4 linked regions of the Mytilus edulis genome follow. The protein of the gene in region 2 binds, or shares a complex with, the protein of the main gene of each other region. Links are inferred from orthologs where the notes say so. Each region holds a gene or a part of one and is shown on either strand. Other genes may lie near its edges. The genes, in order: jouberin-like, B9 domain-containing protein 2-like, transmembrane protein 107-like and transmembrane protein 231-like.

Evidence for each region.
Region 1: B9 domain-containing protein 2-like (region 2) and jouberin-like share a complex: the UniProt entries of both Homo sapiens proteins name them as parts of the tectonic-like complex. The link is inferred for Mytilus edulis from reciprocal best matches to the Homo sapiens genes B9D2 and AHI1.
Region 3: B9 domain-containing protein 2-like (region 2) and transmembrane protein 107-like share a complex: the UniProt entries of both Homo sapiens proteins name them as parts of the tectonic-like complex. The link is inferred for Mytilus edulis from reciprocal best matches to the Homo sapiens genes B9D2 and TMEM107.
Region 4: B9 domain-containing protein 2-like (region 2) and transmembrane protein 231-like share a complex: the UniProt entries of both Homo sapiens proteins name them as parts of the tectonic-like complex. The link is inferred for Mytilus edulis from reciprocal best matches to the Homo sapiens genes B9D2 and TMEM231.

What each region holds. Positions count from the first base shown.
Region 1 is NC_092344.1:20,716,275-20,723,212, forward strand, and holds the start of jouberin-like, read right to left. Parts: upstream 3,030-6,938; 5' UTR 2,951-3,029; coding exon 2,938-2,950; intron 1-2,937. UniProt on the Homo sapiens protein: Involved in vesicle trafficking and required for ciliogenesis, formation of primary non-motile cilium, and recruitment of RAB8A to the basal body of primary cilium.
Region 2 is NC_092346.1:49,637,421-49,644,833, forward strand, and holds the start of B9 domain-containing protein 2-like, read right to left. Parts: upstream 3,030-7,413; 5' UTR 2,856-3,029; intron 951-2,855; 5' UTR 947-950; coding exon 859-946; intron 204-858; coding exon 78-203; intron 1-77. Other genes in the region: tyrosyl-DNA phosphodiesterase 1-like, read left to right, coding at 5,735-6,566, 7,151-7,345. UniProt on the Homo sapiens protein: Component of the tectonic-like complex, a complex localized at the transition zone of primary cilia and acting as a barrier that prevents diffusion of transmembrane proteins between the cilia and plasma membranes.
Region 3 is NC_092356.1:64,949,436-64,956,291, forward strand, and holds the start of transmembrane protein 107-like, read right to left. Parts: upstream 3,015-6,856; 5' UTR 2,750-3,014; coding exon 2,666-2,749; intron 1-2,665. Other genes in the region: coatomer subunit beta'-like, read left to right, coding at 5,841-6,050. UniProt on the Homo sapiens protein: Plays a role in cilia formation and embryonic patterning. Requires for normal Sonic hedgehog (Shh) signaling in the neural tube and acts in combination with GLI2 and GLI3 to pattern ventral and intermediate neuronal cell types.
Region 4 is NC_092348.1:50,344,732-50,352,361, reverse strand, and holds the start of transmembrane protein 231-like, read right to left. Parts: upstream 3,022-7,630; 5' UTR 3,000-3,021; coding exon 2,861-2,999; intron 1-2,860. UniProt on the Homo sapiens protein: Transmembrane component of the tectonic-like complex, a complex localized at the transition zone of primary cilia and acting as a barrier that prevents diffusion of transmembrane proteins between the cilia and plasma membranes.

The sequences.
Region 1 (6,938 bases), on a different chromosome or scaffold from region 2:
GCTGTCACAGCTGACGGTCGGACAAATAAAATGTACTACAAACATGACAAAAAATACTAACAGCAACAGATGTACAATGGGCAATGAAAATATAAAAATAGTATATAAATACATTGAACTTGATAGAACAATATTTTGCCACTTTCACTTTTCAATTACTTTGTAGGTTTATAATATACATTCTTTCTCTATTGAATTGATGGACTGTTCAATTGCTGCAGCTGTCATTGAAATTAAAAGTAATAACAGGAATTAAAAGTATAATAATAATACAAATCTGCTTTATACATGTACATGTATGTATAACATATAACATATTGGTTATAAATACATTAGTCATATATACATTTTGTACATGAATAGAAAAGAATATTTTTTTACATGAACTTGTAATATTGTGTGGAAATTAAAGGAGTTGGCACTAAAAATCAGAAAATTTCTCACTGCAAATAATGTGGTGAAAATTTGATAAAAAAATAAATAATCAGGGTTCTCACTAGGAATTTTTCATGGTGAGTCCAGGATGCATGTAATATTATTTTTTGCGTCTTAATATAATGAAATATGACGAAATAAAACTAAAACAATGCATGTTAAATTGTAGTTTTTATTAGATATTTATAAAAATTATGATCTCTTAATAGTAATTGTTCATTACAAAATATATAACAGACTTCTTTCTTGGTCTATCAATTCTTGGTGTAGGGCCACATTTAAAACAAATAATTTCAACATCGACTCCATTAAGTTTCTTGTCAAAACAATGTCGACAATCATAAATCTTATAGGCAAAACAATGTTTTTGGGACTCAGGGGATACAATCAGGATGCATTCCTGGGACTCACAGTTTCAAAAATGACTTGTATACGCGTCTTAACGAGAACTCTGATTCATCGGAGGTGTCCTTTGTTATTCTGTGGTTTATATGTTGTTGTGTAGTATTATATTATTTATTTGTGTATTTCTCTATCTTTTGTTTATTTGTAATGCTTGCATGAAATGTTGTAATTTTAGCAATATTTTTAACATTGCCATATACAATGTAAGAGAGAGGTTCGGCTAGCCATTAAACCAGGTTCATACCACCATGTTTTCTTAAAATGTCCTGTACCAGGAAAATGGCATTTATTATTAATTGTTTTCATGTTTGCGTTCGTTTTTGTTGCAGTTCAGTTTTCTGTTGTTCCGGTTGGTTTCTTCTTAGAATGTCTTATAAATGTAGTCATATAGTTAATGTACATTTGTATTTCCCTGGTTTTGTTTTAGCTTAATTAATTATTGACTTTTGAACAGTGGTATACTATTGTTGTATTTATTTATATGTTATAATAAGTTCAACTTATTGCCAACCAAAGTAATAAATTTTGACTACAATATACACCTTTCAATCATACAAGTAGCGTTAGACACAAAGCAAATCAAGATGCACTCAGTGGGTTGAAAGATGTTTTGTGTCTAACCTCTGACAGTGTTCCTGTTTGAAGGATAAAATCTTAAAGACTTTAAGTAAAAATGGTCTGAATCGTGCTTTAAAATCTATCTACTTTGTCTTTGAACAGGTTGGGCACAAGTCAGGAAATGTGGGATTCAGGTATTCCCTGCTTTCAGACTTACAACAATGTATTAGATATGTTATATGACAAATGTATCTGTATCTGTATTGTTACGTCGAAGGAATTCTAGTCAAATTGGCACCTGGTTAAATCGGCACTTGGTCAAATCGGCACTTAGTCAAATTGGCACCTGGTTAAATCGGCACTTGATGTAGTCAATTCGGCACCCATGTTAAATTTGTTTAATATTTACATTGTATGTTGTGTACAAGATGTAAGTTTGTACTACAGGTTTTTTTTGTACAAGTTATAAGTTTTTTGACACACATTTTCTTACACCAGGTGATACAAGTTTATCTTTAAAAATGTTCTAGTTCAATGTTTTAAATTCAAATGTATATACTTCAACCTAACATTTTGTGCTATTCTCCTTGTCCTCACAATGGAAATGAGGATACCTGAATGGTTTAAATTCGAATTTTATTATTTTTTATTTTCTCCTGATACCATATATCCATAAAAAGTCTTTTTGTGGTAATGTTTTTGTATTAATTCTCACTATTAGATTGTATCATATAGTTGTGAAAATATTAACAGAAATATGCGAAACATTTTTAGAATTATTTATATATATCTGGGACTATTATGCTAGTATACTTGAATTACTAACTTAGCATAATAGTCCCAGTACCATATATTATATCAAATATTATTGGATGTCGAATTGATTTTAAATAGGTGCTGATTTGACTAGATGCCGATTTAACCAGGTGTCGATTTGACTTTTTCTATGGGTGCCGATTTGACTTGTACCCACCTCCAATATTGGCTTTTACTCGACGGGTATGATCTATTATCTAATATATAAACTTTGTTCTATTTACTTTAGCAAGGTTTTAGAGGAAAGTAAACTACATTTTAAATATCCAGTTCATTTGATTTTGCCAACTTTTCGTTCAGTTTCAATTACCGTACGTTTCTCAATTAACATGATTAAAGATTTTAAATAGCACAACCCTTTTTTACAAGAAAACTGTCAAACTATTATACATGAATAGTCTCATCTTTATCGATACATAAAATTTATTATGTCAGAATTAATAAGAGTCAAAAGGTTTTCCAACGAATAAAAATCAAACTCAATCTATACGAAATGAGTGAATATAAAGATTGCAACCTAAAAATTGAAAAATTCAGGTCAGATCATGTTTTTGTGGTAAACATTGACATTTATTTTGTTGTTTCTTACACAAAATTACAATTATTACAAGAATTGTGTATATCCTGTTTATTATTGTTGCACTAGACAGTGCGTAAAATTGTGAATAATATCAGACTTGTGATAAATGCTATTAAAACATGTGTAAATTTTCAAAACTTTACCTTCATCCGCCATTTTTGTTTACGTTTGGCAACCAGATATAACGCCTCATTCGATTGGTTGAAATATTATCAATGACCAACATCACTTTTATAAATTATATCTAATTCTGCTGATCACTTTTTATCATTATAAAATTAACATTGAACTCTTTTTAAATTGTCCAGTAAGACATAAACCACACTTTTTTTTAACAGTGATTATGACGGGGTGGAAAAAAGGGGGGGGGGCAACAAATTAATACAAATATCATTATTAAATACCGTTTCCGAGCATGACTAACATTGATGGTCTCATCTTTATTGCTACATTGATGTCAGAAGTTATAAGAGTTTTCCGACGAATAAAAATCAAACTAAGTCTATATGAGACAATATATGAAAATGTCTTATTTCAGTTTGGCAATAGGAAAAAAAATGTCTTTAAAACCGGTACTTTAACATAGTTTAAATAGCACAAATCGAAGAACACAAATTGAGGATCTAGGAACTGTTGTCTGTAATTCAAACAGTTTTCGACTTGTCGGCCAAAAAAGTAGATTGCTTTTTGTCAAAAAAGTTTGTCTGGACAAACTGAATCCATAGCCCCCCTTCCCCCCCGAAAATCAAATGGTTGCTGCCTAATGGGAATAAAGAATAAGTTAAAGATTCTATTTGTGGTATACTAGTATATCATGACAGAACGTAACAGAAAGGAATTACACAGTACTCAAGTTTTTGTCCTTTTATATGAATTGTGTTGAATTTTACTCCATCTACATATCAATTTAATAAGATACTATAAAAACACATTTACTGTTATATGGTGCTGACAATGAAATATTCTCAGAAGGTACACAAAAAGACTTTAACAGAAGAGAACAACAAAATTATTCTTCCTAAATTCTTTTCTTTGGGGAGTTAGGATTTTTCAAACTGGCTGCCAGTCACCTATACATATGGAGTCAAACATTCAGGAAATGATGCTATTCGCATTACATTACAAGACATCGAATTTTGGTCTTTCAAACGGTTCCACAGGTGAAAAAAACTTGTGGTAACAGGAGGGAAATTACCCCTTGAGACAAAATTTAAAAGACCCTTAAAAATGCAAAATTTTATCACATGCTTCAGTTATAACAAAATCAGACCAGTAAGGGACAAGTTTTCTATATGATCTATCATATTTGTGAAAATCGGAAGCCTGTTTACTTAATTTGGATATTCTTTGAATGATTTAGTTGTCAGATAACACCACCGGACAACAAGAATTTTTGGGGGTTGAATATTCAAATTATAATATTTTATTGGAAGAAATATAAGAAAGAGTATTTAATTGGCAATAGTTGGTGCATTATATACTCTAGTTAATACTGAAACTTAAAATTAAAAAAAAATCTGGTTGAATACAAAAATAGAGAGCCGTGGTGTAGTGGTTATAGTGCATCGGACTACTAACACAAAGGTTCCTGGTTCGATTCCCGTTGCGGGATGAAAATTTCAGGGATTGAATTTTCGGCTATCCCTTGTCACTATTTGCGAGTATGGTCTTGAGGAAACGATGATAGTCCGTCGGAAGGGGACGATAAATTGCTGATCCATGTTAAGAGAGAGCCATATCTCTTGCACGTGAACATGGTGAAAGACACTCTTGTAGATTTCGAAAAAGAGCAGGCTAATGTCGCTACAAGGCAGCACTCGCACCCGCAACTGAAGTGGAAAGGGATAAATATAAGTTGCATAAAACTTGTTTCCCAATCCACTATAAATAAATATGTTTAAACTAATAAAAAAATAATTGCTGGTAAAAGATGGAACATGGAAATATACTTTTGCAGATATCGTCTCATATACGAAATGAATCGATCAGTATGGCAACGTTGACAAAAAAAGATATGTTTTGCTATTAAAAAATCATTTTTTTATTATTAAGAATTATTTTATCTAATATTGAAAATGCATTTTCTAATATTAGAGATTGAATTTCTAACATTAAGAAATGAATTTCTAATATTAAAAATTCATTTTCTAATATTAAAAATTCATTTTCTAATATTAGAGAATGAATTTCTAATACATATGAAGAAATGAATTTATAATTTTCGGAAATGATTTCTTATTTTCGGAAATGAATTTCTCATATTTAGAAATTAATTTCTAACATGAAAAAAAGAAAAAAAAAACCCACGATTTCTTAATATTAAAAAATAAATTTGTAATATTAGAAAATGAATTTAAAGATAAATGAGATCATGTTTCCAGTGCTGGTAAACATTGGCAGTTCTTTTGTTGTTTCTTCAATACACATACAATTACAATTAATATATGGCACGTAACTGAAAAGTCTTTAAAAAGGACCAACCAGCAAATTTAATCAGCACCGAATCGAGTAGAATCGGCGATACTGCGCACATTAAGGAAAACAAATATTGGTCTAATAGTATTAAGTTTCTGGAACGATAATAAGATGAAGATGGTTGTCACTAAACTATTTTTAAATCGTCTCCGTTTAATACCATCTTATATTTATAGTACCGTTGCGCAAATCTTAGGGCTCTTGAATATTAATTATTCAGTAGTTTTAAGATAATATATAATACGACGCAGGCGTTACATGTGAAAGGGAACGAAGTCCGTATCATTTTTTTCTTCATTCTAACATATTTTAATGTTAAAAAAGAAACTGAAATAACATTGTAATGCTGGGTCTTCCAAGTGCTCCACAAAACCTCTTTCTAAATTCTTTACATAAATTTTTATCAACAATCAAAGCCGGACTTCAAAGTTATTGTGAAAGTTCATATTCTAGTGTTGGTGTGGATCACTAAAACATTCCAAAGATATCTTATAGCTCATACAGTCTAGGACTCATGCATCTTACAATTTAGTAATAAAACATTTGACTTTTTCTTTACTTTACACAAGTATTCCCCATTCCAAACTAAAAGACAAATTCAAACAGTTTGTCATGCTTTTATCTCATAAAAAAGAATGGCTTAAGTAGATCCACGTATCTTGTCTGAAGGAGGGATAAATTCTCGGATGAATCGTACCTTGTAAAACACCACTCTTATTCAAACAAAAAATCAATTACTGATATTGTCAAGATGCTTGATTAAACTTAAAGACAAATTGAAACAGTTTGTCATGTTTTTATCTCACAAAAAAGAATGGCTTAAGTAGATCCACGCATCTTGTCTGAAGGAGGGATAAATCCTCGGATAAATCATACCTTGTAAAACACCACTCTTATTCAAACAAAAAAAATCAATTACTGATATTGTCAAGATGCTTGATTAAACTTAAAGACAAATTGAAACAGTTTGTCATGTTTTTATCTCACGAAAAAGAATGGCTTAAGTAGATCCACGTATCTTGTCTGAAGGAGGGATAAATTCTCGGATGAATCGTACCTTGTAAAACACCACTCTTATTCAAACAAAAAAAATCAATTACTGATATTGTCAAGATGCTTGATTTCTTGATAGACAACATCTTTGTTACCTTCGGAGGACATGTTTTTCAACAAAGAATCCACATTTCCATCGGAACCAACGGTGCTCTCGTTATTGTCGACTTGTTCCTTTATTCATGAGGCTGGTTTTATGCAGGAATTTCCTTGGAAGAAAGAAAAACAGTATCCTTTTACTTAACTTTCCGCTATATATATACAGATCATGTTCTCTCACTTAATAAAAATTCAAATTTTGGTAACTGTGTTGAACGCATCTACCGCCCCCCATGGAACTTGAGATAAAATATACAACAGATACAGTAAATTCTGCTTCACATCTTGACTAACATCTAGGAATTGACGAGACTCGGTTGAAAACAAAACTGTACGACAGAAGAGATGATTTCAGCTTCCCAATTTCTATGTAACAACATTCCAGCAGCGCCTGCATACCGAGCATATATATTTCAATTGATACAATATTTCAGGGCTTGTGTTTCCGACCATGGTTTCATTGATAGAGGGTTGCTGCTCACAAGGAAGCTATTGAAACAAGTGTTCCAAGTGTCGA
Region 2 (7,413 bases):
TATAAACCAATCAAAATCTGATATTTTGATAAGAACTGAAGTGTAATATTTAATATTGTTTTAATTGAACAAATTACCTTGTAAACCTTTGGTTGTAAAGTGAACATCTATTGGATGAGCCCAGTATGCTTCATCATAATTTTGTGGGTTATCTACTTGTGTTTGTCCTTCTCTTAGACCAGACAAAGCTTTCCATGCTCCTCCTGATAATACAAAATATATCATAAATATGAATTGATATATGAGGTACATGTAGTTTTACATAAAAAAATATCTTATAGTATAAAAACAAATAACTAACACTGGACTTTGACTTTGTGGTCTTCATTGGTGAATGTAAGTTAACACTTTAATCATGCACATTGTTTATGGATATACAATGTAGGTCAATAACAATGAAGAAAACTATTTACTGAATTTGAATAATGTGTATCCTGTGTTATCTGACATACTGGAGGACCAGAAAAAATGTTGGATTCAGCAGGGTGTCGGAATACTCTGGCAGGTTTTTTTTTTGCAAGGTTAAGCAAATTGGGACCATGAAAATGTGTCGGTTAAAGCAGGATGTTGGAACACTCAGGTGTCAGAAAAGTCAGGTTACACTGCATAATCAATCATAACACACTGAAAAAGGGCTAATATACAGACAAAACAAATTCTCTAATCAGATTTTCTTCAAACAGATTATTTTCTTCAAAATTTTGCTGAAGACTACAAGTAAGTTTAATTTTGAATGTTTTTTATGTTTGCTTGCTATTTCACAGTCTTTATAATTCTAAAGAACTAGTCAAAGTTTATTCAAAATAAGTTTTAAAAAAATGTATGTATATGTTGTTTAATAAGTCTATTTCAACACACCTGTATGTATACCCCATTTACAAAACAAACTATGATCTGGAAATCCATCAGCACCAAGAATCTGTCCTATGATATGTACTTCTGCCATGATTCTGTAAAAATAAATCAATTACTCTATTCAAGATTCAATTATGTCGGAGGAAAAAAATAAAATTACACAATTTAAAACTCACTTATTTCACATATATATATGTAATTCAATTGAATTCTCTCAAATACATTTCCAAAAGTACATTATATGTTCATGTTCCCCATTTCCATTCTTAATTTTATGTTGTACATTTTTATGTATAAAATGTATCAAAAGTCAAATTAAAGGGACTCCAAAATTACTAGTCATGCTAGTGTACACAATTCAAAGAGGGAAACCAACGATCTAATTTACATATATATACAAACGGGAAAATACATATGAACAGAACCACACCAACAAACGATACATGTTACTACTGAACAATAGACCCAGAATCAATGCGGACAGGTGCATAAACATGCAGTGGGTATGGATAGTTTCGTTCCGCTGGCATACAATATAATTGCAGTTGAAGGCAACTCTTCTCCTTCAGAAGTTCTGCATTCTCTATTTTGACAACGAACATTTTTTGATGGGCCGGGAATGTAGGTGAGGGGGAAGAAAACTAATGTACAGGTATTTTCCCCTTGTTATATATTTATATCAGAGCACTCCCACTTTGGATATATGGGTTTAATGTTTAATCAAATTTTTACAAAAACATTTACATAGTGTGGTGGGGTGCTTATAGGTTTAAAATCATTAAATACAGGTAAGCAGGTAAGACTGTGATTTTAAATTAAGGGTTAATATTTTTTTATAATATTTACCAAAAAACAGACAGGATTATATTTCCGGATGCGGGAAGCAGGAATATAAATCTTAAAATTTATTTCTGTTTCGAATAAAATAGGTGCGGCCAGGTCTGTCAAATAAGGAATTAAATTGATGTGGCCTCAAAGTCATTATTGCAGTACTAGTCTTCTTCTTTAAGGAAATTTGTAAATGGATTCATGTGATAGCTTTATGAATTATGTAGTATTGAATAACACAGAAAGTTCTCTCTTTGGTATTTACATATGTATTATAAACAATGTTTGCAACATATGCATTTTTCAATTATAACTCTAGAATCCGGATCCGTTCGCGCCCATTCACGTTTGCACCCACTCATGTTCGCCCCTTTCACTTTCCCACCCTACATGCTCGCACCCAAAGTCTGTTCGCACCCTACATGTTCACGCCCAATTTTAATTGGTTTTTTTTGTAATCATGCAAGTTTTGGTAAGAGTATTCTTCTTGTCATTGTCTTAAAATAAAGTGAGACAGCATTTTATTTTTGTGTTGAATAAATCTTAATCATGTTTTGGATAGTGTATTGTTAAAAAAAATATAATCCTTTCTATAAATAAAGTGGGATTCTGTCAACGTTTTATTTTGTGTTGAATAACTCTTAATCATGTTTTGGTTACTGTATTCCTATAACTTTGTTTCATTGACTTGTTTCAAAACAACTAAGTGAGATTTTGACTACGTTTTTTTTTTGTGTGTTGAATAAATTTTATCTTGTTTTGGTTATAATAGTGTATTGCTTTATTTTATTGTTTAATTGTTTCAGATCAAAGTGACCAAGCTATCAAAAACAATTATCTTTTGTGGTTTTTTTTTGGGCCCAAACGTGTAGAGTGCGAACGGACCTTGGGTGCAAACCTGCGAGGAGCAAACGTGTAGGGTGCGAAAGTGTATTGGGCGTTAACGGACCTGATACCATAACTCTAACCATCTGGTGTCTCTTTCCTTTTGTGATAAATATTTCAAACAGAAAGAAAGCAATTAAATGAATCTTGTAGTTAAATTGGCAAACCATTTTATTTGACATGCCCAACCCGTCTTTTCGAACATAAAAATCAAAAGTAATTAAAACCCGCTAGGAAAATTCAAGTTCGAACATGGCCAAGGCACTTTAAACTCTCTTTTTGCTTACCACGCCGTAATTTAAGTAGATAAAATGCTGAATTCAGTAATTTTGTTATTAAATGGTTAAAACTTTTCTGATTTAGGCTTCTCTGATATCTTATATATCAGGAAATTTCATTTTCTTTAGAATAAATTGTTAATGTTCATTCCTGTCCACCATTTTTGTTGACATTAACAATTTGATATTTTCGTATTTTGCATAAATCCTATTTATCAAAATAAATTGATCTTGGATGAATAATTAGTTGCTATTTAAAATGAAACTCTTTGTTAAACGCTTTTAAAAATAAAATATGAAATAATAACATCCGAAAATAATTAGTAAACAAATGCTGATTTGGCACATGTGTGAGTTCTATCAAGATAATGACAACTTATCATATTTGTCAGTGTAAAATTCATAGCTTATAAATAATCAACATCCTGCATCTCCCTCATAAACAATCATCAATCTCTCATATAAATTTACACGTGTGCTCTTGCATTTTACGTCTAATAACCAATTCCTGTTCTGGAGAAGGAATAAAACACATTGTCCAATGCTTTAAGGTTCATCATAACCTTTTGGCTAAAATGGCCTTATTTACACCCCAAATTTTACTCTGAGTACAGACTAACCTATACACCTGCAACAGTTTTAAGGGATGGCAGGAACTAGATATATAAATTTTAAATGCATTTTATGTTTCAGAAAATTATAAACTTTTCTAGATTTTGCTATCCATTTTTTTTCGTTCCTGCAGAAGGTGCAAAAATTAACTAAGTAGTGAAAACGATTGAGAAGCTCCCCTCATATAATGAATGTTGTGAGTAGTATTGATTTAAATGGACAATAGACACCTGTAAACAATAGGTGATTTAACAGGTTTAAACTGTGTCACTGAATGGACCGTATCAAATGAAACTCGGGTGTTTGTTTATTTTGCTATCTTCTGCAGACTGGAAAAAAATGAACATCAAAATCCAGGTAAGTTTTTAATTTTCTGAAACGTAGACTTCATATAACTTTTATATATCTAGTTCCTGCCATGCCTTAAAACTTTCCTGGATGTACCAGTTTGTCTGTACTCATAGTAATTTTGGAGGTGTAAACACGGCCATATTTTTCAATTCCTTATGATGAACCTTAAATACATGTATAAACAATAACGATAATAATTGATAAATTCTTTATTTTTAGAAATCTGTCTGGCATGACCCTGGAATCTGTTCCGCTTGAACGTTTGACATCATACAACAATCACTTTTCCATCAATCTAATTAAAAACCGATCTCTCATCGCTCCCGTTTTCTGATATGTCGCATGGGAGATCTAACGAAACCGGCTTTGAGGTCACATGTGAGTGAACTAAAAGTTATAAATTTATAATGATATGCAAATGAGTTGATGACCTATTAGTAAGCCAATCAAAAAAGTTTATGAATTATTTTGACTGACGATTTCGTCGTAAATAAAATGAGTTACATCCCTTTACCTTTCATTAAACTTTCAAGATCGTGGAAGACTCAATTTCATTGGTCGAAAAAGACACACCTACGAGGTCACTCACATGTGACCTCAAAGCAGGTTTCGTTAGATCTCCCACGCGACATCAGAAACAGGAGCAATAAGAGATCGGTTTTAATTAGATTGCTTTTCCATATGAGCATCACTGATGAATCTTATGTTGACGAAACGCTTGTCTGCTGTACTAAATTATAATCCTGGTACCTTTGATAACTATTTACACCACTCATGGGTCGATGCCACTGCTGGTGGACATTTCGTCCCGGAAGGTATCACCAGCCCAGTAGTCAACACTTCGGTGTCAACATGAATATCAATGATGTGGTCATTTTTATGAATTTCCTGTTTACAAAACTTTGAATTTTTCGAAAAAAACTAAGGATTTTCTTATCCCAGGCATAGATTACGTACTTAGCCATATATTTGGCACAACTTTTTGGAATTTTGAATCTTCAATGCTCTTCAACTTTGTACTTGTTTGGCTTTATAAATATTTTGATATGAGCGTCACTGATGAGTCTTATGTAGACGAAACACGTGTCTGGCGTACTAAATTATAATTCTGCTAGTGGTACCTTTGATAACTATTATGACTTTGTTTAAGACCCCAAACTAATCAATGGTAACAACAGGTGTCATAATCTGTTGTTACAGGTAATCTGTTTATTGGATGGGTCTTTAATGATTACTATATTAATTCATTCAAATAGAATCGATAGAAGGAATTTGCATATACATGTAACAACACTATGTACTGTACTTTCCTAGTGTAAGAATAATTTGTACCTCAGCCATTGTCAGCTCAGGCCAACAGAATGTATACAAAACTTTCCCAAAAAATCGGATTGTGTCTGTTGCTAAAGTAGACCTTTATAAAACTGAATCACCCTATACTAGTATATAAGAATCAATTGGATATAATTTGTAGAATATTCCGTATTGATTTAACCTTCCATTAATGGCCTGTTATTAATGAATGATAATTGTATATATTTAAGATTGTTTTTTGTGCATAAATTAATATTGTCATTTCTTCAACGTTGTACTTTATTTGGCCTTTTTAACATATTTTGATTCCAGCTTCACTGATGAGTCTTTTTGTAGACGAAAATTGTGTGTCTGGCATATATATAAAATTTGAATCCTTATATCTATGATGAGTTTATTCTATCTAGAACCTCCCAAAAAAGGGACAAACCTTGTTTATACTGTCCTTTGCTTTCTGATGTTGTCCCTTTCTATTACCAGGAGGTAAAAATAACCTATTTGTAATATGGTATGTAATTTAAAAAAATTCATGGTAAATTTATTTTTTTTAGGAAAAAAAATGTAAATTAAATTCCACACTTTGATATATATATTGGAATCATTTTGATCTTATGTCTGCAAAGGGAGGTCATCATGTATCTGATACAGACTCGGATATTACTGTTGGACCAGAAGATAGTGACGTGACCACTGAATCACCACACAAATCACCAGTAAATCTTCCGTCATTAAGTAAAAGAAGAAGTGAAGTTCATGAGATTTCAGAGTCTGAAGAGGAAAGTGAAGAATATTTCATTTTGAAAGGGACTTCTAAAGGGAAAGGAAAATCTTCATTATTTAACTCATTGAAATCCACATCTGAACAAAACGAATCTAAATCACTTGTTAAACAAAGTAATAAATCATCAGCAACTTTGACTAAGCTTAAGTCACAAGAAAAGACAACAAAATCATCATCAGAATGTTTTTCAAAGTCACTAGACAACAGAACAAAGCCATCATCAGAAACTTTGACTAAGTCAATCGAGAAGAGATCAAAGCCATCATCAGAAACTTTGACTAAGTCAATAGACAAGAAGACAAAGTTGTCACCAGAAACTTTGACTAAGTCACATGACAAGAGAACAAAACCATCATCAGAAAGTGTGACTAAGTCCTCTGAGAAAAAGACTAAGTCATTTACAGAAATAGAGAACTGGTTAGATAAGATTGATTCCAGTCCAGAGGCTGAAAAGGTTGATATTAAAAAAAGATTTGACAGTCCAGTGGAGAAAGGCAAACATTCTGATTATAAACCATCACCATCTAGTGGCTTGAAGAGAAAACAGACAGTTTTACTTGAAGAAGAAAAGAAGACAGTTAGTAGGAGGAAACCTCCTTGTCAGTATGGGTCAAAATGTTACAGGAAAAATCCATCTCATCTTCAAGAATTCAGCCATCCAGGTAATTAAATAGCAAAGTTAAAAAAAGAGGATTTGCATCAATTGCCTGTCCTATCAGGTAGTAGTAAAATTTAACAAAAGAACATTTGTTATCATTGTACAAAAACAACCTGCTTGTTTCTTGTTCATTGTTTAGTGGTAAAAGAGCAAGGTCAGTTTGTCAGTTATATGCTGAAAGGAATAAGTCAGATTATTTGAATAATAGGTCTATGATATAGAATGGAAATACTTTTCATGATTTGATATTGCATGTTGAGCATTTTGTTTCAGGGCAGTTTTCAAAGCCACTTGTCAACTACTGATCACATTCTTGTTCGACTATAAAAATGTCTGTAAGAAATCAAATATGCTTTCTCTAAGCATGTTTAACCATTGCTATGGTTGTTACATGTACTCTAAAAGTAGAGATATTTCCCATGATCAAAATTAAACAAAATTTCAACATTTATATATTGTACAACAATAATAAATATATGCCTCTGATAGTTCACTTTTGTAATGTATAACATAAACAAAAGATATCTTAGCTTGGTTTTAGTTAAGTATCATAGAATCACATTCTTCAGGAAACATTTTGTGTTTCAGATGATAATCAACAGACATCAGGGAGTGGTAGAACCACACAAGAATCTCCACCAAGAAAAAAGCCAAAGATATCCATAACAGGTCCTCTATCTCCAGATCAAGTCTATAGTGAAGGACAACCATATAGTTTCTTCCTAACCAAAGTTCATGGTATACAAAACCAATACAACCAAGTCTTAGCAATGGATATCAAAGGTGAGAGATGATACTTACAGTAATTAATCTTATATGAATTTTTCAAGTGCCATTGGTTATTCATCTTG
Region 3 (6,856 bases), on a different chromosome or scaffold from region 2:
CCCAAGTACACGGATGCCCCACTCGCATTATCATTTTCCATGTTCAATGGACCGTGAAATTGGGTAAAAAATCAAATTTGGCCTTAAAAGTAAAAAGATCAACCAAAAGGGAACATGTGTACTAAGTTTCAAGTTGATTGGACTTTAACTTCATTGAAAACTACCTTCACCAAAAACTTTAACCTGAAACTCACACTTTTAATTTCTATGTTCATGATCAGTGGACCATGAAAATGGGGTCAAAAGATTAATTTTGTTTTAAAATAAGAAAGATCATATAATAAGGAACATGTGTACTAAGTTTCAAGTTGATTGGACTTTAGCTTCTTCAAAAACTACCTTGACCAAAAACTTTAACCTGAAATGGGACGGACGGACGAACAGACAAACGGACAGACGGACGGACGGAAGGACGCAGAGACCAGAAAACATAATGCGGCTTATGCCCCTCTATTATCGTAGGTGGGGCATGAAAACAATTCTTATAAATCATGTAAATTGGAACTAAGGATTTGTACAAATACTCATTAGAGTGATTAAAATGACTGTAAGGAGGTTGTAAAAAAAAATGAAGAATAGATGACATTGACTTTCAATATTAAATTTATTTTGTCGAAAATACGTTCAAATAAAGAAACTACATTGTACATACATGACATACAATGACATAGAAACTTCAAAAAGTTTGTTACTGTTTGAGGAATATTGAAATTCAAATTTGAACTGTCTGGAAGAAAACAATTTTCATGAAATGACTAAACGTACTACATTGTGGTTGTTCAAATGCTGACTGACTGATTTTTCTGGGGAAAACAATTATTATAAGAAGGTTAATTATCATAATTATATTTGTGGTTAAATATGATCCATTAGTGACCAATCGGATGGTGATAAGCGGATAAGCTGTTACAAATCACAACTTGTAACACCTGTTGTACAAATGTAAATGTTAATTACCGGCTCAGGGCCAGAAACTTGAACACAATTATATTTTTTATACAAAAATATTATTAGACCTTCAAACATGTCATGATTTAAGAGACGAAATTGATTTGAAATCCTTTCAACATTTTGAAAACCATTTTGTGAATGACGAAATGATGGAACACTAGCAAAATCACTGCAGGTTGGACAGATACGAATCCGGGTCCATTCGCGCCCATTCACGTTTGCACCCACTCATGATCGCCCCCTTTCACTTTCGCACACTATATGTTCGCACTGAAAGTCCGTTCGCACATTACATGTTCGCGCCCAATTTTTATTGGTTTTGTGTTTAACAACTTTGTAATCAAGTTTTGGAAAGTGTATTCCTATCAGAATATTTGTTGTCATTGTCTCATTATAAAGTGAGACAGCATTATTTTTTGTGTTGAATAAATCTCATTTGGATAGTGTATTGTTAAAAAAAATAACAATCCTTTCTAAATAATGTTGGAATCTGTCAACGTTTTATTTTGTGCTGAATAACTCTTAATCATGTTTTGGTTAGTGTATCGCTGTAACTTTGTTTCAATCATTGACTTAGGCCATAATAAATAAAAGGTTTGTTTGCCCAAACACTTCCTACCAAGAAAAAAAGCTGCCTACTCAAATTCTTTTATTGTCCTGATTTGAAGAAGTTTTTTTTTTTTATCAAATAGGCATGAAGACTAATTAACATCTGATACTTCAATTTCTTTTTTTGAAAGAAAAAAAAATGCCTACCTACCTACCCACTGTCTCAACCTTTGGGTAGGGTTTGGGCAAACCAAAATATTTTTAAGTCTGGCCTTGTTTCAAAATAAAGTGAAATTCTAACTACGTTTTCTTTTTGTGTGTTGAATAAATTTTATCATTTAAATCAGGACAATAAAAGAATTTGAGTAGGCAGCTTTTTTTCTTGGTAGGTAGTGTTTGGGCAAACAAACCTTTTATTTATTATGGCCTAAGTCAATGATTGAAACAAAGTTACAGCGATACACTAATCATGATAATAGTGTATTGCTATATTTTATTGTTTCATTGTTTCAGATCAAAGGGACCAAGCTGTTAAAAACAATTATCTTTTGTGTTTTTCATTTAAAATCTTCAATGTTTTACTCATACATTTTACTAAGCTAAATACCTATGCAGTTTAAAACAACAATCATGATTTTCTAATTATTCAACTGGAATTTGATCTAAAATTGGGCGTGAACATGTAGAGTGCGAACAGACCTTGGGTGCGAACGTGCGAGGAGCAGACGTGTAGGGTGCGAAAGTGTATTGGGCGCGAACGGACCTGATACACCTTATTGCTAATCCCGTCTGACCCCAGAATCTGTCCCACTTGAACTATTGACGTCATACAACAATCGCTTTTCCATTGTGGCGTCAGATATTTTGTATTATGACATCAAAATTTTACGTGAACCTGTATGATGTCCAGTAAATTGTAATGGCGGGCAAATAGCGATAAGGTGAATTACAAAATAGAGACAAGGTGTATACACCTTATCGCTATTCCCGGCTGACCCGTCCGCTTGAACTTTTGACGTCAACAACAATCACTTTTCCATTGTGGCGTCAGACATTTTGTTTTATGACGTCAAAATTTTACGGGAACCTGTGTGATTTCCAGCAATGGCGGACAAATAGCGATAAGGTGTATTGTAAACAGTATTATTGTGTAAAGTTTACTTACTTTTGACCAAAATAAAACTATGACTATCACAAGATGGGCGACAATTGTGAGAAATCTTGCTGGAACAAGACCACTTATTCTCATTTTGACTATATCTGAAGTATATGTATAATTTCCTTGTAATTTGTATTAAGTTGGAACCAAGAATTTACAAATTACGACAGTATACTTCGAATTCTTGCCAAGTGTTGTTTTAACTCCTTAAATATGCGTAACCATTCAGTTTTGCTTTTACAATAAAATGGTTATGTCTTTGATGACAACTTGCTATTCACGATGTACACAATGCATAAGTATAAAAATATTGGTATGTCTAAGCTTGTTTGGCGGCCATTTTCAAACAAATCATGTTTAACTTCCGAGTCCGGTCACGCTTGCGCATTCACTGTGGACACGTCTCTTCATCCAGGTTGAAACTGAACCGGCGAAACTTATTTGTTTACAAACTTATAACCCAAGAGAATGGTAACGAATAACTATTTTAGAATTTTATAACGCATGAGCTTCTCGATATGTAGTAGCTGTCAGGTTTAGGGGCGAAATATAGTAAAGATCAACGTTTAATGTGAAAAGGGGGGATATGGACCATTGTTGACACATTTTTTAACATTACATATTTTGTAGGTTACCGAAAATTATTGCAATTAGACATTAAGTGTAAAGCAGAACGACACTAATTTGATAGTCATTTATGAAATGTGGTCATAATCATAATGCATTATTGGTTGTAAGCTAATCATTTTTGTACCACTGGGGCACTGCCATACACCTTATCGCTAATCCTGGCTGACCCGGCCGCTTGAACTTTTGACGCATAGAACAATCACTTTTCCATTGTGGCGTCAGATATATTGTTTTATGACATCAAAATTTTACGGGAACCTGTGTGATATCCAGTAATGGCAGACAAATAGCGATAAGGTGTATTTCGTACCCTATGCCTATGGGCCAAAGCATCTATCAATTTGTCCCTCATGAACTAAATACATGTTAACTATTTTGTATCATTTACCAACAGTCTTGGTAAATGATAGTAATATTTAATAAATATCAAATCTGTTTGTTTTTATACACCCGTTTACTGGACGTATTATGGTATACTGTTGTCTGTCCTTCCGTCGTCAATTTGTTGGACAATAACTCAAAAACGCTTGAATGTTATTAATTTAATCATGATTGAGTAATTGTACAATAAGTGCATGTGGAGTACATACATCAATGAAATAGTACAGGCCTCTACAATAACTTTTTTTTCAACTTGTCCAGTCATGCCAGTAGGACAAGTACATACCAAAACTTACTTGTCCCAATGAAATTGTTACTTGTCCAAATTTTTTTAATAAAAAATAACCTTTTTACATTTTAAGTTGATTAAAGGAACAAAACGAATTTAAACAATAGAACAGAATTTGATGTATTTCTTTTGAAATACTTTTCAAAAATATGAGTCAAGTACAACTGAATCTAGTCATGTCACAGGACTTAGGTTCTAGTTTTCATCAATGCCAGCTGTCTCATCAGACTCTAAACATGAGGCACCATCTGATAGGCCTGTACACTCATTGGATTTGTATCCTGGTTTTTTTTTTAAGTTGAAAAAAGTTTATTCAAATGCAATCAATAAAAAGAAGAAGATAAGGTCTGATTGCCAATGAGACAACTCTCTTCAAGAGACCAAAATGACACAGAAATTAACAACTAAAGGTCACCATTTTGCAAGTATTGTTTTTTTTTTACCTATGATCAAATATGATTTTGTGAATTTTATGAAATTATGGTTAATACAAAAAATTATGGAAAATAAAAAAAAATATTTTTGTGAAAAAATTACCTGTATGGTATTTATTATAAAGAACAGAATAAGGAAAGAAAATGAGGAACTGATTTGTCTTGGTCCCGAAATGTCTCCTGCCTTGCCAAAGTGTCTATCAATCATTTCCACTAAATTTGTCTCCTACGGTGCCAAACTGTCTATTAAACTTTGAGCTAAACCTGTCGAAGTGAGAACTGTCCTGTAAAGTTACCTAGTCTACAAAACCCAGCATTGATTATTCGGATCAGTAAGGCTGGTTTCCGAGAATAGTATAATGTACCAGTGTTCTCCCCAGATATTTCATTTAGCATCCTGGTAAATAGGGGAAATTAAAATACCATCTTGTTTCTGAAATTTATAGCATCACATCCATAACATAATCTATAAGAAAACCAATTCAAATAGCATCACATTTAAGATTATAGCATCACATTACCATGATGCTAAAAGGCCCTGGGGAGAACACTGAGTACCTTTCACCTGTTAAAAGGTACCTGACAAAGGACAAGTTAAAAATTATCGATTGCAAGTAAACATGCTAAAAAAAAGGTTTTGCATTTCAATAAACAGAATACAGAAACATGTCAAACTAATTTTTGTTTTTTGTTTATTATTATACTTTGTTCATCAAAGTTGGATGAAATTTATTTTCTGCAGAATAATTGTACTTGTTCCAACGGACAAGCTTGATACAGCTTTTACTTGTCCGACCTTTTTTCCCTCTGGTATCGGACAAGCGTTATTGTCGAGGCCTATAGTATCCAAACCTTCTAAAATGATAAACAATAAAACATACAAAACTTCCATGAGGTGAAAAATGGTAAACATACAAACCTAACATGATGAGATAAGAAATGGTATACATTGTACATATAAGTTGTCCATGAGGTACGAAACCATGGATATGGGATATAAAAATCCAATCTCTGTCACCCACTTTTCCTATGTTGATAATATTAAAAACCAGAAATTTTAATAATATATTTCTAATTAACAATGGTCTTCTACATGTACATGTATGTATCTTTCTTATGTCATGTTATTAAGTTTGTGCATGCTTCTTCTTCTTGTTATGGAAAAAGTACTCTTGTATCTGGAGAACTTCTGTGATGGGTTAAAAGGAACTACCAAACAACAGTTGAAAGGATATATAGTATTAAAATAATATGAAATCTAGTATTTACAGCTCTACACTGTTCATTCTTACATATACTTACTTAAACATGATCAACATCTAATATCTAATGAATTATGTATTGCAGCCGTTACGTTTGAATATAAAGCGGGTTTTGACAGCCCGATCAGATCGTGTTAAAAGCATGGGTCTGCACCCAACTGAACCATGGATGATGGCTAGTTTGTATGATGGCAAGGTGGTCATTTGGAATTTTGAATCTCAGGTATATAACTATTGACTTTTATTATTCTTTTCAGCCGCTACGTTTGGATATAAAGCGGAAGCTGTCAGCTAGGTCTGATCGTGTCAAATCTGTGGACTTGCACCCTACAGAGCCATGGATGTTAGCCAGTTTATACAATGGAAATGTACACATTTGGAATTTTGAATCCCAGGTATCTCAAAGTTTCTCTAGGCTATAGCTAGCATGTGAGCAAGTGTACCACTATATATGCTCCAAGTAACACTGATATAATATGCTGCATGTTTTTCCTATTGTTTTGTCCATACCTTTGTCCAGATACCTCTATATGTTTTAACCAATGTACCTGCTTTACATGTTTTAATGAATGCTATTTGACATAAAAATATTTTTGTATTAATTTTTTACTTTCTATTTTACTTTGCTTCGGCATATATCCTTTTTTCTCCAGATATTTCAGACAGTTTCAAATTCGTGTTTCAGAAATTATTAGGATCAGATCTAGAATAATCCAAATTTTACATTAAAACCTAAAAAATGATCAGAATAAAAAAAAACTTTGGAATTATGTGCTACATATGTATGAAGAACCTCTTCCTTTTAGCTTTTTTTTCACAAAACAGTCCAAAAGAAATAAACAACTCTATCTCTAAGAGTATTGTTAGATTGTGCATACATTGATTGTGCCATTTGATAATGTTTAATGGAGAAAAAAACAACTTATAATGAACGTATTGTTTGAAATTCAAAGAAAAAATATCAGTTTGATATATATTAATAAATTTTATTCTCATTTGCTAATAATATATTAATTCTGAAAATTTAAATGATACCTTTGAGTTCTAGCATTTAAATGGTTCTTTTATAAAAATTGCTCTTGAATTATAATACAAAGTAAATCTACAATTATTCTTCTTTAAAGGGAAAATTCACGATTTTTTACTTATGGTTTAAATATGTTCATTATGACATAATATATATATTCACAAAGTTTTATCG
Region 4 (7,630 bases), on a different chromosome or scaffold from region 2:
ACAGCCTAGCTGGAACACTGCATGCGTCTGTAGTTATTATTGTAAAAGCACGGATTTTGGTCATAGCTGGTCTGGTTCCGATCCGTAGTAAGTAAACGGTCAATGGCGGACGAATGAAAGAAAATTTACAAAAATAAAGGATATTTGACAAGCTATTTGGAAAGAATATGACTTTTTTAATGCAATAAATGGATTAAATATTTACTGGAGGCAACTTTTATCATGATTAAATGAAGTAACATTGACCGTAGTTAGTAAACGGTCAATAACGGATGAATGAAAGAAAATTTACAAAAATAAAAGATGTTTGACGAGCTATTTGGAAAGGAATAAAACTTTTTTAAAGCAATAAATGGATTACCGGTAAATATCTACTGGAGGCAACTTTTATCACGTTTAAATGAAGTAACACACTTATTTTGCTGCCGATAGTTAGAATGATGTAAGTTCTCTAATTCATTGTACATGTAGGTCACAAGTACCAGAGGAGCATGAAGGGATAACAAAGTTGTCTTTTTATTAAATAATCTGCTACACACTGTAAAGGACAATACCTCAACCTTTTTTCTTAGAAAATGAATCTTTTAGGCCACACCAATTTGATTCCTTGTTCGACAGACCCGCCCGCACCTATTTTTTTCAAAACAGAATTTTTTTATTTCTTTTATATTCCCGCTTCCCGCATCTGGAAATGCAATCATGTCCATTTCCCGCACTGTTTTTGTTGTAAATATTATAAAAAGATATCAACATTTGTTTTTAAAATCACAGTCTAACCTGTATATAACGATTTTAAACATAAAAGCACCCCACCTCACTGTGTAAATATCTGTGAGAATATTTGTTTCAGCTCCGATATAAATTGATAAATTAACAGCAGAAATATCTGTAAAGTACAAAAAATTGGTTTCTTTCCCCCTTACTTATATTCCATATCAAAAAATGTTCATTGTTAGAATAAAGTATGAAGAACTTCTGAAGGATTTGTCTTCAACTGCAATTATATTGTATGCTGGCGAAACAAAACTATCCATAGCCGCAGCATGTTTATGCACCTGTCCTGATTGATTCAGGGGCCTGTCGTTCAGCAGTTATCGTTTCATGTTTGTTGATGGTGTTCATTGGTATTTTCCCTTTTTGATAAATTAGATCGTTGGCTTTCCTGTTCGAATTGTGTACGCTAATAATTTTGGGGTCCTTTATAGCTCTGTTTGGTCTGTATCAAAGCCCTGTTAAAAAGGCCGTACTTTGACCTGTGTTTGTTATTATCAGGTTGAGAACAATCCTCCCTCAGACAAGGGGTCATTTTACTGTTTTACTGATGAAGAAAAGAAATACCAAGGATATGTATAGTTCTTCTATACAAAACCTTTGAAAACTTACAATTTTGTACTTTTTCTAAAAGAGGGGTCCACTTATTTTGAATAATATTAAACTGTAATAAAGTAAATGTGTTAATTTAACATGGTTAAAGTCCAGGAATATTACAAAATTCCTGGACATGTTTTTACCATTTAATACCAGATAGATATATAGTTCTTTGAGAAAATATGAGCCTTTTTGTACAAACAAATATATAATAACTTATATTGATCCCTCATAAAACATGTAAAAGGGATATTTATAACATTAAGGGGTTTCCCCCAAACTGATTATGACTTGGATGGAGAATTGTCTCATTTCAGTCACACATTTTGTCTACATGTATGTTTGTATACCTTGCCGACTCTAAATAAAGCTTATTTATTATTTATTATTACATACATAGACCACATTTAATTATTTCTTGGTAAACAAGGAAAAAAACACTTCTGAAATTAAAGAAATGTCAGAGTACAAGTGATAAATCAAGTTTTAATGTTGTCAAAACCTACTATTTTATGTTTACAAAAAAAAATTATAATCGCTCGCCTTTACTTTTCAAGCTTCGCCTCAAAAATTTGCAAATTAAATATTTTTTCATTAAAATTTTCAAATCGCTCGCTCGCCCCAAATTTTGGAGTCCAAAAATCTGTAGAACAAGCACGGTGCAGTCCGGTGTATCCGCGCACATAAGACTTATGACTTCACTTCATTCAACTGATAAAACCAATAATTGGATAATTTTGTGTGAACACATTCATAATATACTTTTATTTCATAAAATCTTCTGTTTGTATGGTTTCATCCTCTAGATTTTGTGTAATGTGTGTCCAAAATTAGGGAAACCCCTGTTCTGAGAGTTCCTCCAATGTCCGGTGATTTCGCGCATGCCTTCCAAAAATAGCTTATTTGGAATAAAGGAAAGATTTTACACTACGAAATATAGCTGAGTTTGTACCAAACACACTTCCAAGGATGCAGAGCAAAAATTATTTCAATCTAATATTAATTTGAATTAAATAAAACCAATTTTATCTGATGATGTAATTTTTTTAATGGAAATTGGCCAAATATGGTAAATCACAGGATTTTAGTTATTAATTAATTCTTGAACTTATCAATTTTATTCTTTTTTATCCCTTCGGAAGGCTAAAACATTAACAAGAACGATTTTGTATGTGTAACTGTGTTGATATGACGAAATCAGCTAATGCGCGATAACACGGGCCGCACGGACACCGGGGACTCCACTGCAATTAAATTGGTGTGGCCTTATGTCTGAATTTCTTTATATTATCAATAAAAAATTGTTGTTTCATCAGTTTTCTAATTATCACCGATGCCATTTCCGCTCTCAATACGGAAAGCTGGTCAACATTTTTTTTTTATTTACAAATATATACATGAATCTGTATAAATTTGTTTTGTCAACGTGCTTCAACTTGATATGACTGGTGAAAAATCTTGGTTTTTAAAAAAAAATTTACATCGCACTTACCATAACTCCTATAAACAACGAAAAGTGGAGGGATTACTGTAACAAACAACACCACAACTAGAATTATAGATGCCTTTGAACAGATATGGGTTTTGTAACGTCGAAGTTCTGGATGAGAAAATACTTCGTACACCGCCATTTTCAAACAAAGCAGGAACGACGTGAATAAGATATAACATAAATGAATTATTAATAAAAAAAAATATGTGCATTATTTTCTGTGTATAATCATGATTGATTACTGGTATTTTTTGCATCATGAGTAAATTGATGAATTTTTATTTATAAATTGTTTTTATCGACCCTTTCGCCACTTAGCTCAGGGTGAATAAAAGTAAAGCAGTACGTGAACCTATTTTTCAGATAAACTGGAATCCGCTTGTAATTTACGCTACACTTGAACAAAGTCTAGTTTAGTAGTCAGTCGAGAAGCAGCTTATTTTTTAAAGGCATACGATTCATCATAAGGAACTACAAGAGACCAGAAACAGGATCGATTCCATAACCAACATCATGAGACGTCAGCTAGAAATTGACGAACGCTAACTGATAGAAGAAAGTAAAGAAGACACAGCCTCCGTCTGATCCTGATATACATGACAAGGTATATGACAAGGTGGTTGAGGGTCTGGTGTCGACTCTACCAGCCGACAACAACTTTGTTACTCGTCTTACTCCGTCATGAAGACCGAAAAGAACAACCAAAGCCAAAAACATTTACTTATTGTGAAACAAACAATATAATATTGAACGGCAAGTAAAACAAAAGAGGGCTTTAAGGGCATACGATACAGTTTCGATCCCATACAAGCTATTTTTCACCTTAGCAATTCAGATTTGTAATAAAAAAATATGTATACCTCAATGTACAACTTCAAGAGATAAACTAAGGGGTCGAAATTTTAGACATTTACTCTAAAAAATATGTGTTTATATTTCTATTCTTTGGATAGACACACCTGATTTTTTTATTTCTCGGCGACAGATAAACACAAGCGGAATTTTGTAGAAACACTATCATGCCAAAATGAAACTTCGCAAAAAAATCAAAAATTGATATTATGTTCATTCTGTATAAAAATGCTCAAATTCATAGATATTAAAGTTTTATTCCGCTAGATAAGCGATCACCATCGATTTTAAATTTAGAGTATTAATTATCTGCGTTCCGCCATTTTGTCCTTCTTTCCCGATTAATGAAACGATATGTCTATAAACCACAAAGAAACAAAACTACAGTAACCGATGTAGTCGTAATTGCGTGTCGATATCTTGTCAATCGTACGGTTGTTTTATCCGACTAACTAACCATGGTCTGTTGTTTTTAAAACTTGGAATTAGGTGACAAGTCAAAGTTGAAATCATAAATAAAAAGTGTTCCGTGAAAATTGTTTTCGAAAATCTAATTTGTTCATAATTCTTTAAAGTAATAAACTGTTTTCAAATAAATTTTGATCTTCCCTCTTCTGATCACCAGCATGGCTAAAGGTATTACTTCCAAAGGTATTGTGAGGGGTGTGAGGTGACACGTCCAGGTATTTAAGCGATTTCCTGTCGGGCTTGCAAGTTCACGCATCGTTTCACTTCTGCAGGTATTGATCAGTGTACACGGCTGATAACATTTAATTTTCCATTTTGAACTATCAGATGTATAATATACAACTCTGTCTTACTTGTCATTACCAAACTCATACGCTTGTTTATAAATAACATTTCTGGTGTAAAGAATATTATTCATAAAAATATAAATAATACCCAAAAAATAAGATTTGATGAAATTAAAATCTATTTAAATATTTTTCCAAGGGTGAATTTGGGAAAATGTAATATATACTCATTGTCAAAAGTGAAGGACAGATTGGAACATACCAGAAATATTGATTTAAAAAAATGTACGCACTTGCCGACGATTCGTTTATACGACTGGATAGAAAGTTACGGAACTATAGCGCAATTTAAAATATATACATGTATACATTGAACATAAGAAAAAAACATATATTTTGAATAAATAGGGGTAAAAGTGTTGTAAATAGACTAGTCCACGTATGCCAACAGTATGTAATCATCGAATGTCGATAGACTATTGTATACCAGAAGAAGAAGAGAACCAATTTGATTTAAATACAGGTCGATGTATAACTTTTGCTTTGGTTCATTGAAGTTGTGGACATAGTAAAATCACAGATTTATATTTCAATAAGATTGTTCTCGAACAAAGGAAGGAATTCGTCATCAAAATTGTTATATATGCCACTGGACGAACACTAATTATCCCGAAGAGATGTGAATATTTTGCTGGGAAACTTTTGAGTATCAAAGTTTCAAATTAATTTCGGGATTTATTTTTTTTCTTGGTATTCAATAACAGAAAAAAGAATAAATAACTTGTCCGCTAAATAGGGGTAATCTTGTCAGATGAAAGACTTTTAGTTATATTTAAAAAAAAATAGGGAAATATGACATTAAATTGGTTCTGTCTTTTTTTTAAACATCGTTAAAAAGATGTGTGTCTAAGGTGAACGCCACAAGAACCCTGTAATACTAGTACGAGAGTATAGCATGTAAACATTCCTTCTCAATAATATGGTTGTATTGGAAATCTTTTCATACAGATTGACAACTCATTGTCCGATATGCATGTAATATTTGCCACATGACGCCCATAGTTCTTTCTACCATCATCATCTTATTCTTTGATATTGCTGTCAACATCGATGGTTCACACCCAAACAAAAGGGGAGTAATGGACCTTCAGAGCTTCTCCGTGTTATACACTTGTGAAATATATAGACGAAATTTCTGTATTGAAATGAATATACATCTCACAAACAGGATTTTCAAATAACGATTTTGAGTAATCACCTTTCAAACCAATATAAACGTATGGCAAGATATAACCATGAAGGAATTTAGTTTTTGTCGGTAGGCACTTAAAGTTAACCATCGAGAGACGTTAACCACCGAGAGTCGGTTTTTAGACCCGCCCAGTGCACCTAAGCACGCCTACTTTTGGAGCTCTTTAGTATGAAGATAAGAAAAATATACGAAATTACGGAACTGTGTACCCTGTTTTATCCTTGTTGTTGGTGTTTCTTGCGCATGCGTACAAAGCACGGGGATAGTTACGGTTACTGACTCAGGAACCTTGTATATTATATACCTCGGTTTACAGACGTTTAATAAACTGGATCACTGTTGTGTTCACTTATCGATACACTACGATGGAATTACGGACCAGTTTAACATAAACATGGTAAATAGATAGACAGCTGATAATCATAATTGATTAAGAAATAACCTGGAAGAAGAAATGAGTTAACTATTGATTATAACAGAGACGAGTGCCATCGTGTTTGTTCTGCTAAAAAAAGCAGGAACATTGGAGTTTATGGTTAGATTTTAAATATTTATTGTCTCCAAACTGGGTAAATTTGATATAGTAACAACCCCCCCCCCTTTTTTTTAAATAACTCGAGAACCACACATCGCGCTCGCTTAACAAAGTAACAATAAGAAATAATTATTGTTAGTTTCAAGAATAATTAATCGTCAAAACTTATCCCCTCCCCGACATCAAAGGAAGTTAAATGTATTATCCCAAAATTAGACCAAATTATTATGATATAAGGACGTCTTGACAGGCTATTATTTTCTTTTGTTTTGTTGGTTTTTTTTGTTGCTTTGACGTCTTCCTCCTGTATGAAAAAAAACATAATAGACCCCCCCCCCCCCCTTTTTCCCCATAATATAGCTTTTTAAGAAGTCATAATTATTTGGACTACCCCTGAATATATTTCAGACAGACTCTTCTCTAAAAAAATATAAACATGATTTGAGAGAAATCTTTGGAATAATTTTTTAAATGATTTGATTATTATGTCATGTATATAATTAACATTAACATAGTTATAAACTGAGACTACTAGTATAACACATAGTGTTATAGTAGTCTCAGCTATAAACTTTCCATTGTATTGACCAATTTGACTAACTCATACGCTCTTTCCCATAAATGTCACAATATCAATATATTACAGTAAAACTGATAGTTTGATGACATTGTTTAAGACTATTGACCTCAGGTCAGCCTAAACTGAGTTTAAAACTGTAATTTATTCATTAAAACAGTACAAGACATGTACCTTCTGAAATGTGATTGCATCAAAATTAAACCTAAGGCATAACATACTTAGTGTGCAGGAAGTGCCACCAAATAAATACTGATTTGTAAAATTAGATGATGATATTTGTGAAGTCAAAGATATAATAGCTAGTTATAACTGGTTTTAGATATAAATCTGAGTAAAAGGTTGATTTATATGTGCTCTTTTATGTTTAGATTATAATTTAAATTTAATCTTTTGAAGTTTTTTTTATAATATTTAGACATTAAAATCACAATTATTTATTTATACACAAAAAAATAATTTTTGTCCTTTTTTAGTTGAATGACTGTACACAAACATTATACACACATAATTTTGATAATTCTGTAATGTTTTTTTTTCTATAGCCCCAGAATGTGACAAAAGACTTATTAATCCAGATTTACAAAAAATAGAAATAGTTCAGCTACCATAAGACTGCTATGACAAAAATTCTGCAGTTTCCAGAATTTGAGGTAGAGTATAGTTAGGAATAGTTTGATTATGCAGATGCTTAGTTTGCCATAAACAATTATGCCCTTGATACAAAAGCAGAGGAAACAAAAAAGTATGAAAATAGTTGAAAAAAGTAATCATTATTACCTAGTCATATACTGTAAAT